Linked DNA regions of Arabidopsis thaliana. The protein of the gene in region 1 interacts with the protein of each later gene in a biochemical or structural test. Each region holds a gene or a part of one and is shown in the gene's direction. Other genes may lie near its edges. The genes, in order: AT1G06760 and PARP2.

Region 1 (4,019 bases):
TCATTTTGTTTCTCTTCTCTTGGTATATTGACAAGGGCTTACTGGTTACAGGGAAGGAGGAACTTCTTTACCTCAAATTCCAGCAAATTTTTTGAGAATAAGGTAGGTTACAGTTTAGGTATTCTTTGTTTTATATATCCTGTGTTGTCGCTGCATCTTACATAGTCCCTCATTTTTCTGTTATGAGGAATTCTTTTGTTGGGGAAGATAATCCAATGTCTCATTCTGTGATAGGGATGGAAATACAACAGTTTCTTTCATCCAAAAGTACCTCATGAGGAAGCTAGATCTCGAGAGTGAAAATGAGGTAAGGGTCTTTATATGCACTATGGCACGAGAAAGGATAGAACGTTTGAATATAATGGAACTTATATGTTTGGTTGATAAAAAATGGACATACTTATGGTTTATGTTCAGATAGAGATAAAGTGTATGGGAGAAGCGGTGATCCCAACGCTGACGCTTTACAATTTAGTGGATCTATGGCTCCAGAAAAGTTCAAACCACCAACGGTTTGCTGCATTGGTAGGTTCTTCTGCAAAGGATTTTACGATGGTTCTTGTCTATGCTCGGAAGCTACCAGAGTGCAACATGTAAAGGACTTTAAAGACTCATGTTGTTGCAGAAGAAGATTCTGTGGAGACAGGGTAATCTTTTCTTTTCGGTTTATGGAATCTCTCAAAGCATTACAAGAGAGAACATTACTAGAACTACAGGAGCAGTCGAATGTGTTGTGAAATTAGTATTAATATTTTTTTCTATAGACGAAATATACACTCATGAGTCGCTTTTCTGTGCAAGAAAATACAAAATTTGTTTCCCTTTTCTTTCTTCTTCTTCTACTATGTGTCCTCTCTGGACTTGCATGTAACATTGTTGTCACTTTCTAATCAAATGTTGTAGTTTAAGATGTTTTAGATTGATTTATATGCATTTATTTGGGTACTACATCATTTCTATGGAAACTAAGGTTTTCAAGAATTACTGTTCAAGTGTTGACTGTGGATGACGAATGTAGTAGAACTGTGATGACCTATATGGAGGTAGAAAACTACCAAATTAACTACATAAAACTTATCTGACAAAAGACGAATGAAGTTCATTATCACTATTTTGTGTTATCGTGAGTACCACTATGTGGTGACAACCATCATGCTTAATATGAGTAACATATTTATATAACAAATTGTTATGATGTTCAAAAAATGTTACGAGTATGCAATTTAACAGATTCTTTTTAATTCATGCTTTACATATAGCCATGATGCTTAACGATATCCAAAAGAAAACAAAAAAAAATCATTGAAGAGATTGCACCTAGACTAGATTGCCTCTCGGATGACCTTGTACATGTGTTGCTCTTAAGAAACGTAATCTATGCATCATAACTAAAGGAAAGTTATACATGTGTTTTAATATCAATTAAAATTGGTTGATTACATACTTAAACTAGTAAATCACAATCTATGAATAATCCGGACTCTTTTTAACATAGACACATGACACATCAACAAGTAGTGTGCAACATATTCTAGAGGATGGTCATCTTAGGTAGTATTCATTCAAATGATTTTGGATCAAAAAGTAATTGAAATCCCACGTTTATTGGTTCGGTTCACTCCTTGATTAGTCAAGTTTCATATTAACATAATTTTCATCGAAATTCTCTTTAGCATTATTCGAAAAACCAAATATACTGTAATACTAGCAAGAAAAACAATAGTTTTGACATATCTTGCTTCATAACCGAATATCTCATTACAAAATAATCCATTTTTCACGTTTAGATAATCAAACGAACCCTCACAGAATTTTCTACACAATGCAAAAAACAAAAACGAATTTCATCGAGTATATCACGAGTTATGGTCAAATGAATCGAGTCTAAAAGCACAACAAATATGACCAAAGCATCTAATCCACATCCACTAACTTACTCATCCCACCATCTACACTCCTTCTTTCTCTGCCGTCGATAAAATTTGATCCAACGATTAATATTCAAACCTGAGAAAAGAGTAGCGATCCGCGTAGTCATTGTTTTAACCAATCAGAAGCCAGATATGAATTGCCGTCTAATACACATCTAACTATATAAATCGGACGTTTCCAATGATCCTCTTCACAATCCTCATAATCACTTTCGAAATTACATTTACGCTTTCTTGCAATCAAATTTTCCGATCTTAAGTTCAGAAGACGATGTCAGAGGTGGAAATAGAGAACGCTGCTACGATCGAAGGAAACACCGCTGCGGATGCGCCGGTGACGGATGCGGCCGTTGAGAAGAAGCCTGCAGCGAAAGGACGAAAGACGAAGAATGTTAAGGAAGTGAAGGAGAAGAAGACTGTTGCTGCCGCTCCGAAGAAGAGAACTGTTTCATCTCATCCTACTTACGAAGAGGTAAAAATGAGATTCGATTTCGTTTATTCGTGTTTCTTATTAAGCCGGATTCTGATTTTGGAATTTAGAAATTGATTTTTGTGTTCTTTGTTGATGCGATTTCAGATGATTAAGGATGCGATTGTTACGTTGAAAGAGAGAACTGGATCTAGCCAATACGCGATTCAGAAGTTCATCGAGGAGAAGCGTAAGGAGCTTCCTCCAACATTCAGAAAGCTGTTGCTTCTCAATCTGAAGAGACTCGTTGCTTCTGGGAAGCTTGTGAAGGTCAAAGCCTCGTTTAAACTCCCATCGGCGTCGGCTAAAGCATCATCCCCTAAGGCGGCAGCGGAGAAATCTGCTCCTGCGAAGAAGAAACCGGCGACTGTGGCGGTTACCAAGGCGAAGAGAAAGGTCGCTGCGGCTTCCAAGGCTAAGAAAACAATCGCCGTTAAACCTAAGACTGCTGCTGCTAAGAAAGTGACCGCGAAGGCTAAGGCTAAGCCCGTTCCTCGTGCCACTGCTGCTGCAACTAAGAGGAAAGCTGTTGATGCGAAGCCCAAGGCTAAGGCTAGACCAGCCAAGGCAGCCAAAACGGCCAAGGTTACATCTCCGGCTAAGAAAGCTGTTGCTGCCACGAAGAAAGTTGCTACGGTGGCCACAAAGAAGAAGACTCCGGTTAAGAAGGTTGTGAAGCCAAAGACGGTTAAGTCTCCAGCAAAGAGGGCTTCTTCTAGGGTTAAGAAGTGAAGTTAGGGTTTGTAGGTAGAAGAATGGTTAACGATAGTTTAGACTTGTATAATTCAATCATCTTTATGCGACTTTGTTTGCTTTTCTTCTTTCAGTGTTCTTGTTATTCACAGTTCCTTTGGACTACCCCTTAAATCATATATAGATTTCATCAATGAAGCAAACTCGAGTTTCTTTGCAGCTAATTTGTGTCAGGCTAGTGCTGTTCTTGTTGAGTTATAGTAAACATGGATGTTATTATACAATCAACAAACTTTTACAACATTGAAGTTATACAATGAACAAGTTTCTGTTCTTCCTTGTCAACTCTGCCCTTGTTTTCTATGTTTACCATTTTCAGCTTTTGGTGTTGTTGATGAGATGTTGTTTAGATCTTTTTTCAACTTTCTGAATGGAATATTTGAGTTCCTGTTGAATGCTAAACCTTGAAGGTGAAAGAACAATGTCTTTCCAGATTGAACCTGCTTCACAAGCAGGGTTGGGTTGTCTATAGAGCTCGTAAATGGAGCCTGCGTTCTCGTTTAACCCTCCTACTCGCTTCAAACAATCTATCTCTTCTGTATCTACTAGCAATGTCTTTTCCTTTTCTTTCCAACCTATCAGCTGTTTCACAATCACACTTCACCTATTAGTATTTTTCTTATCTACTATTATCTATGCACCATTGATAAGATGTTCTTGTTAACTCTTAGTGCAGGAGAACTATAACTAGCCTAGGGGTGAGTTGGGGCTTTCTAAGTTGGTCTAGGATCTTGGCTTAGGCATTGGTCGAGAGTTTGAAATTTCTCTTGTTCAAATCGGTTAAGTTCTTTGTTGCATTGAGTTAAAGTATAAGTTTATCGGTTCCAATTTCAAAACTAACCTTTGGAGAGCCTTCCAGCGCGTTA
Region 2 (6,914 bases), on another chromosome or scaffold:
ATTTTGAGGCGGTGGAGTTTCTATTGATTGGTTATCGATGACCACTTGCATCGTCAAATGGTTCTTTGATTCGTGGTTTCGGCCCCAGCTTCATACTATCACGAGACTCGACCATCTTGTTTTTTTCTTCTTCTTCTTGGTAAATGGTTTCACAACTTGGTTCCTCTTTCTTTCATTTTATTTTATATACTATCATAGCATTTTGGTTGGATTTCTCGAGATAGTATATTTTTTAGTTACTATCATTACATAAGTATATTTTAAAAAACTAATTATATGAATTATGTAGCTAACTAGATAGATAATCGTATAACCAATTCATGTTAGTATAGTATAGTTTAAGTATGTATTTTGGGATTACAAGTGTGGTTGGCATCAAGACAAGGATGGTGATAGCCTTTCTCTGTAATTTGGTTTAAGAAAAGTTTTTGCATTTTATGTATAAACGTGTTTTTTTTTTATAATTTAAAATTTCAACAAAAAACAATTTTTTTTAATAATGATTGACCACTATAGACAATTTAAATGATAAAAAAAACCCCCAATTTTTCACAATGTTTTGGAGATTAGTCTAGATTTTTTGTCCAAATTTTCCGATTGTAAGAATTAAGAAGCAATGAACATTTGTGTTAAGCTTAATGATTTGTACTCACAATATCTTTTAAATTTAAAATTGTTAACCAAAATATCCTATATATTGTACTTGTAATAGAAATATAAACTATTAAAAACAACACTTTATTCATATAATATAAGTTAAAACATATGTTTTTTTTAGTATGTTCTAATCACACCTATTAAAAAAAGTTGAAGCTAAATGAGCCAAAAAGAAAAATAAAGATAGGGGATGGGGACAGGCTGTAATGTTAGGCGGTTGGTATATGAACTGAGAACATGTCTGTTGGTTCGGTCCATCTACACCACTCAACCATTTGGCTATGTTTTCTTTTTGGCTTTTGCATGTTCTCTCTACTTTTCTTCTTTGGTCAAAATCTCTATCTCGTCTTTTACATGGCTTACCCGAATGTTAGTTGTCATGTAAATTTGGTTATGAAAAGATATTTTATATAAACTTTATCGTATATTAATATCGTTATCATCTAACCATTTTTTAAAACTAAACTAGAACCATCCAGTTTTACAAGAGTTTTTTTTTTTTTTTTTCTAACTAAATAATATTTGAAGTGTACAATATTAACAATATATGGGCCAAATAATAGTGGAAACCAAATCGTTAGTCCCACTTTATGATGGGCCTGTTGATTCTTATGTCTTCTTCGTAAGTTGTGATTATGCAGATTACGGGCTAATAAACATGCATGTTTAGTTTTTACTGTCCAAGTAACGAAATTTTATCTTTTGGGTTGTTGGCCCATTTCATATATTCCAAATGCCAAATCCAGCCCGGCTCGACACAGCACTGCTCGGCTCAACACTCGTATGCGGTTGGTAGCCACTTAAGACCTTGGTTTGATTAACATGTTACGAATAATTTGTGTCCCTTTTTCTTCAAGGAGACTAATCTCTTTTAATAAAAAAGAATTGTGTCATTAGTCAACACAAGTCCTATAATCCGTTTACGGTAATTTGTATGCACGTCCTTGGAAAAGTGAGTAGTGGCGTAGCATTACAGCCAAAAACTATTTGTATATTTTTCTTTTCGTTAAACAACCAGCAAAATTTTCAGAAAAATGTTCTTAAATTATAAATTAGTAGTACATTTTAAAACATAGAGATTTTTTGTTTCTTTTAATAGAAGAGTTAAACCTATGTACAAAATTTCAACTCCTTTTCAAAGTATTTGCCTGTTACTAGATTTTTAACCTTTTTTTTTTTATCTTTCATGATTTTCTATTGCTTGCCATCATCAATGGTAGGAAATAAATACTATTTTAAAAAGGTCAGGGGTGGATTTAAGAATCAATCCAAAAGTTTGGGGTCTTTTGGAGATTAAAAAGTTATATGGGAAATATCCACAAATATGAACGAGAACTTTTGTCAAAAAAATTTAAAATAATTTTTCAAAAAGCCCTAAAGCTTTCAAGGGAAGCCATCGATGAAGAAGAAAACGAAGAAGAAGACTCTTCAAATGCTCGCGCGAACTCACTTCTGACGAAAACCATACTTCCTCAGTCTCATTCCCTTTCCGACGAACTATTCTCCTGAAGAAGAAGACGAAAATGGCGAACAAGCTCAAAGTCGACGAACTCCGTTTAAAACTCGCCGAGCGTGGACTCAGTACTACTGGAGTCAAAGCCGTTCTGGTATTTCTCTGAATTGCATTGAAATACTCTTTCTATTTTGTTGATATTCGAATTTGTTTATTGGGTGTTTCGTGTAGGTGGAGAGGCTTGAAGAGGCTATCGCAGAAGACACTAAGAAGGAAGAATCAAAGAGCAAGAGGAAAAGAAATTCTTCTAATGATACTTATGAATCGAACAAATTGATTGCAATTGGCGAATTTCGTGGGATGATTGTGAAGGAATTGCGTGAGGAAGCTATTAAGAGAGGCTTAGATACAACAGGAACCAAAAAGGATCTTCTTGAGAGGCTTTGCAATGATGCTAATAACGTTTCCAATGCACCAGTCAAATCCAGTAATGGTTTGTTCAATTCTCTGGACTATTGAGAAATTTGGTAAAAATTGAGTCTTTTTAATGTTGTTATTGTCATTGTGTATTAAGGGACAGATGAAGCTGAAGATGACAACAATGGCTTTGAAGAAGAAAAGAAAGAAGAGAAAATCGTAACCGCGACAAAGAAGGGTGCAGCGGTGTTAGATCAGTGGATTCCTGATGAGATAAAGAGTCAGTACCATGTTCTACAAAGGGTGAGGATTTGGAACCTAATCTTGAGTTTTTGCATCTTATCGTGTTCATGAATGTTGTTAGAAACTGTTTCTTTTTTTGTTGAATGTTGTAGGGTGATGATGTTTATGATGCTATCTTAAATCAGACAAATGTCAGGGATAATAATAACAAGTTCTTTGTCCTACAAGTCCTAGGTCAGTCTTCCAAAACCTTCAACAATAATTTCCCTGGTTACTTTCCAAGATTAATGAGACGATACTTGTCTTGTTCGAGTACTGGAAACCTCTTGAAGCAGCTTTTGATGACTCTTTGTCATTCTTCTTGGTTCCAGATACTATCATCATTGATCTATCTTATCTATTGTGCATTGTGCAGAGTCGGATAGTAAAAAGACATACATGGTTTACACCAGATGGGGAAGAGTTGGTGTGAAAGGACAAAGTAAGCTAGATGGGCCTTATGACTCATGGGATCGTGCGATAGAGATATTTACCAATAAGTTCAATGACAAGACAAAGAATTATTGGTCTGACAGAAAGGAGTTTATCCCACATCCCAAGTCCTATACATGGCTCGAAATGGATTACGGAAAAGAGGAAAATGATTCACCGGTGAGTGTTTTGGAATCCTCACTTCTCTTTCTCTTCTTACTATTTGTTGTGTGGTATGATCCAAGGGATCTGCTGGAATGAGGTTTTTGAGTGCATATCTACTTTTCTTTTTCCCGTTTAATTGCAATTATATATTTTTTTTCTCTTCGTTCAAATGTGCACTTTACTCAGAGTTCACGATTGTTTTTTTTCTCAGGTCAATAATGATATTCCGAGTTCATCTTCCGAAGTTAAACCTGAACAATCAAAACTAGATACTCGGGTTGCCAAGTTCATCTCTCTTATATGTAATGTCAGCATGATGGCACAGCATATGATGGAAATAGGTTTGAGTCTAACTTTGATCACTTCATTCAAGTGAGAGCATCCATTGGCAGATTAACAGTGATTTTTATATGTCGATACATTATCTCTTTGTTTTGGTGTCCTATTACCTGCGTTTGTACTTCCTATCTTTTGTCCTATCCATTTGTTTGCCATTTTGCTGGTTTCTTTACTTCTTGCTGATTTTTCATACATCTTCTAAATTTGGAATTGAAGGATATAACGCTAACAAATTGCCACTCGGCAAGATAAGCAAGTCCACAATTTCAAAGGTAAAGATAGTAAACAGTCTGTTTGGTCTCATTTCCGTAAATTATAGTTTGGTGTGATTTCAGATGATATAATCTCCTCTTCCACATGTCTAGGGTTATGAAGTGCTGAAGAGAATATCGGAGGTGATTGATCGGTATGATAGAACGAGGCTTGAGGAACTGAGTGGGTATGTATCTGGTTAATTGCTAGACAATTTTTCGCATTTAGTTGATTATGTAACTGTTTCCCATAAAGAAATTAGATTTGAACTAGTCTAACTTTGTTTATCATTGATGCAGAGAGTTCTACACAGTGATACCTCATGATTTTGGTTTTAAGAAAATGAGTAAGTTCATCTGTGCTAAGGTTTACGATATATATAACTAAACATTCACTAACATCTGAATTCCGAGCTGTAACAGGCCAGTTTGTTATAGACACTCCTCAAAAGTTGAAACAGAAAATTGAAATGGTAATTTTTCCTACTGTTTCCTTACTTGACTAGTTTTGGTCTTCAGAAAAGCAATGGTTTGTCGCTACATGTTTTGTGTAGTTTTTAATATATCGTTTTTTTGTAAGGTTGAAGCATTAGGTGAGATTGAACTCGCAACAAAGTTGTTGTCCGTCGACCCGGGATTGCAGGTAATTCAGTCAGTCTATGTGGTTTGAAGGCATGAAATCACTCCGTCGTATAGTTCTCTAAGAATATGACATTATTTTTTGCAATGGCTGTAGGATGATCCTTTATATTATCACTACCAGCAACTTAATTGTGGTTTGACGCCAGTAGGAAATGATTCAGAGGAGTTCTCTATGGTAAATTTTCGGTTTTGTGAACTTTGAACAAATATCTTTGATACTCGAGCATCTCAAACATGTCTGTGTTTTAAACCTTTTGGTGTTTACTCCTTAAAACCAAAATCAGGTTGCTAATTACATGGAGAACACTCATGCAAAGACGCATTCGGGATATACGGTTGAGATTGCTCAACTATTTAGAGCTTCGAGAGCTGTTGAAGCTGATCGATTCCAACAGGTATGTTATGGTATTTCGAGCTTGTCAGTACCATACACATTATTCTGATTTCTCGTTTTTGGCATTGTGAGACTTTAATTTTTCTTGGCAGTTTTCAAGTTCGAAGAACAGGATGCTACTCTGGCACGGTTCACGTCTCACTAACTGGGCTGGTATTTTATCTCAAGGTAACATGTTACTCTTTTTCCTCTTAGTAACTACTTTTTTTCTTCTCCTCTTGGGGGATTTTCAATTGCATAGTAAAATGAACAACTATGAGACACCAAGCAGGTCTGCGAATAGCTCCTCCTGAAGCGCCTGTAACTGGTTACATGTTTGGAAAAGGGGTTTACTTTGCGGATATGTTCTCCAAGAGTGCGAACTATTGCTATGCCAACACTGGCGCTAATGATGGCGTTCTGCTCCTCTGCGAGGTATACTCGCTTCTTGTCTCTATTCATATAGAAAACAACAAAACTACTGTATAACTACAGGACCTCTATAGCCATTCAACATAACTATCCTTATGTTTCCTAACGATAAAAACTTCTCTAGGTTGCTTTGGGAGACATGAATGAACTTCTGTATTCAGATTATAACGCGGATAATCTACCCCCGGGAAAGCTAAGGTATGAAGATAATCTCATTCATATTTCACACAAGTTCCTTATCTCAAACCGCAATGAATTATGATTTACTATTTTTGTACTGTACCTTGATTTGTTATTTGATGGTTGCAGCACAAAAGGTGTGGGGAAAACAGCACCAAACCCATCAGAGGCTCAAACACTAGAAGACGGTGTTGTTGTTCCACTTGGCAAACCAGTGGAACGTTCATGCTCCAAGGTTTTTGTTTTTGTCTTGCTTCAACACACATTCACAAAATCTAACTCTCTCAAATTTCATAAACTGACTTTATATAACTTTTGCAGGGGATGTTGTTGTACAACGAATATATAGTCTACAATGTGGAACAAATCAAGATGCGTTATGTGATCCAAGTCAAATTCAACTACAAGCACTAAAACTTATGTATATTAGCTTTTGAACATCAACTAATTATCCAAAAATCAGCGTTTTATTGTATTTCTTTCAAACTCCTTCATCTCTGATTTTGCACGGTTCACTCGTATATTGGTACGCTAAACCGCAAACCATACCCAATTTTATCCGGTTTAGTTGGTATGATTGAGAAATTCTTATTCTCTGAAACTCGATTTTATTAGTATTTAAGCGAAAGAGAAGAAACCCTACGAAAATCTCAATCGGAAACTAAACGGCAAAAAAAAAAAAAAGCAGAGGCAGCCATGGGAGAAAAGAGAAAATCTACTTCGAAAACCCTAGCTAAGAACAAGAAGAGGAAAGGTCCTCATTTGCCTAATTCAATCCTGAAGACTATTGCCAATGAGAAACGTCCTTTGAACTCTGACGAAGATGACGATGAGATCGATTCCGACGATGAAAACGTCGATTTGTATGAGTATGAAGAAGGTGTGCCTGAGGAAGAGTCTAAGAAAAACAATCGCTATGACCGCGTCGATAACTACGACTACGAGCTTCCCGAGGATTTCGAGGTTTTATTCTTTCTCTTCACTAATTCTCCGCCACTGTGTGAAATTGCAAGTTTTGAACTTTAGTGATAAGAAGATAATCTACAGATTTTGGTTTTAGCTCAATTAGGGTTTTTGCTATCGGGATTCTTACGCTATAACAAATTGGTGAATCCAAAATTGAGAGTTTTTAATTGATTGATTGGTAATGAGATAGTAACTTTAGATCTGGTCTTGGCAATTGTTTTGTCCTTGTTATATGTATGTCTTATTGATAAAAGTGTCTATGATCTCAATATAGGATGAAAATGTGGAGTCAGATGATGATGAAGATGGTGGAAACAGCGAGAAT

The links.
Region 2: of the proteins of AT1G06760 (region 1) and PARP2, one has a biochemical effect on the other in vitro, tested with the Arabidopsis thaliana proteins (one study listed by BioGRID).

What each region holds. Positions count from the first base shown.
Region 1 is NC_003070.9:2,075,800-2,079,818, reverse strand, and holds AT1G06760 (winged-helix DNA-binding transcription factor family protein), read left to right. Parts: upstream 1-2,051; 5' UTR 2,052-2,202; coding exon 2,203-2,403; intron 2,404-2,508; coding exon 2,509-3,132; 3' UTR 3,133-3,315; downstream 3,316-4,019. Other genes in the region: DRIP1 (DREB2A-interacting protein 1), read left to right, coding at 52-102, 235-307, 418-597; AT1G06750 (P-loop containing nucleoside triphosphate hydrolases superfamily protein), read right to left, coding at 3,469-3,735, 3,995-4,019. UniProt on the Arabidopsis thaliana protein: Histones H1 are necessary for the condensation of nucleosome chains into higher-order structures.
Region 2 is NC_003075.7:1,047,924-1,054,837, forward strand, and holds PARP2 (poly(ADP-ribose) polymerase), read left to right. Parts: upstream 1-1,842; 5' UTR 1,843-2,180; coding exon 2,181-2,264; exon of another isoform or gene 2,265-2,341; coding exon 2,342-2,603; intron 2,604-2,684; coding exon 2,685-2,830; intron 2,831-2,922; coding exon 2,923-3,004; intron 3,005-3,185; coding exon 3,186-3,421; intron 3,422-3,617; coding exon 3,618-3,747; intron 3,748-3,961; coding exon 3,962-4,017; intron 4,018-4,110; coding exon 4,111-4,184; intron 4,185-4,296; coding exon 4,297-4,343; intron 4,344-4,419; coding exon 4,420-4,469; intron 4,470-4,576; coding exon 4,577-4,639; intron 4,640-4,732; coding exon 4,733-4,813; intron 4,814-4,922; coding exon 4,923-5,033; intron 5,034-5,124; coding exon 5,125-5,200; intron 5,201-5,303; coding exon 5,304-5,446; intron 5,447-5,567; coding exon 5,568-5,641; intron 5,642-5,752; coding exon 5,753-5,858; intron 5,859-5,944; coding exon 5,945-6,037; 3' UTR 6,038-6,263; downstream 6,264-6,914. Other genes in the region: AT4G02400 (U3 ribonucleoprotein (Utp) family protein), read left to right, coding at 6,320-6,586, 6,864-6,914. UniProt on the Arabidopsis thaliana protein: Involved in the base excision repair (BER) pathway, by catalyzing the poly(ADP-ribosyl)ation of a limited number of acceptor proteins involved in chromatin architecture and in DNA metabolism.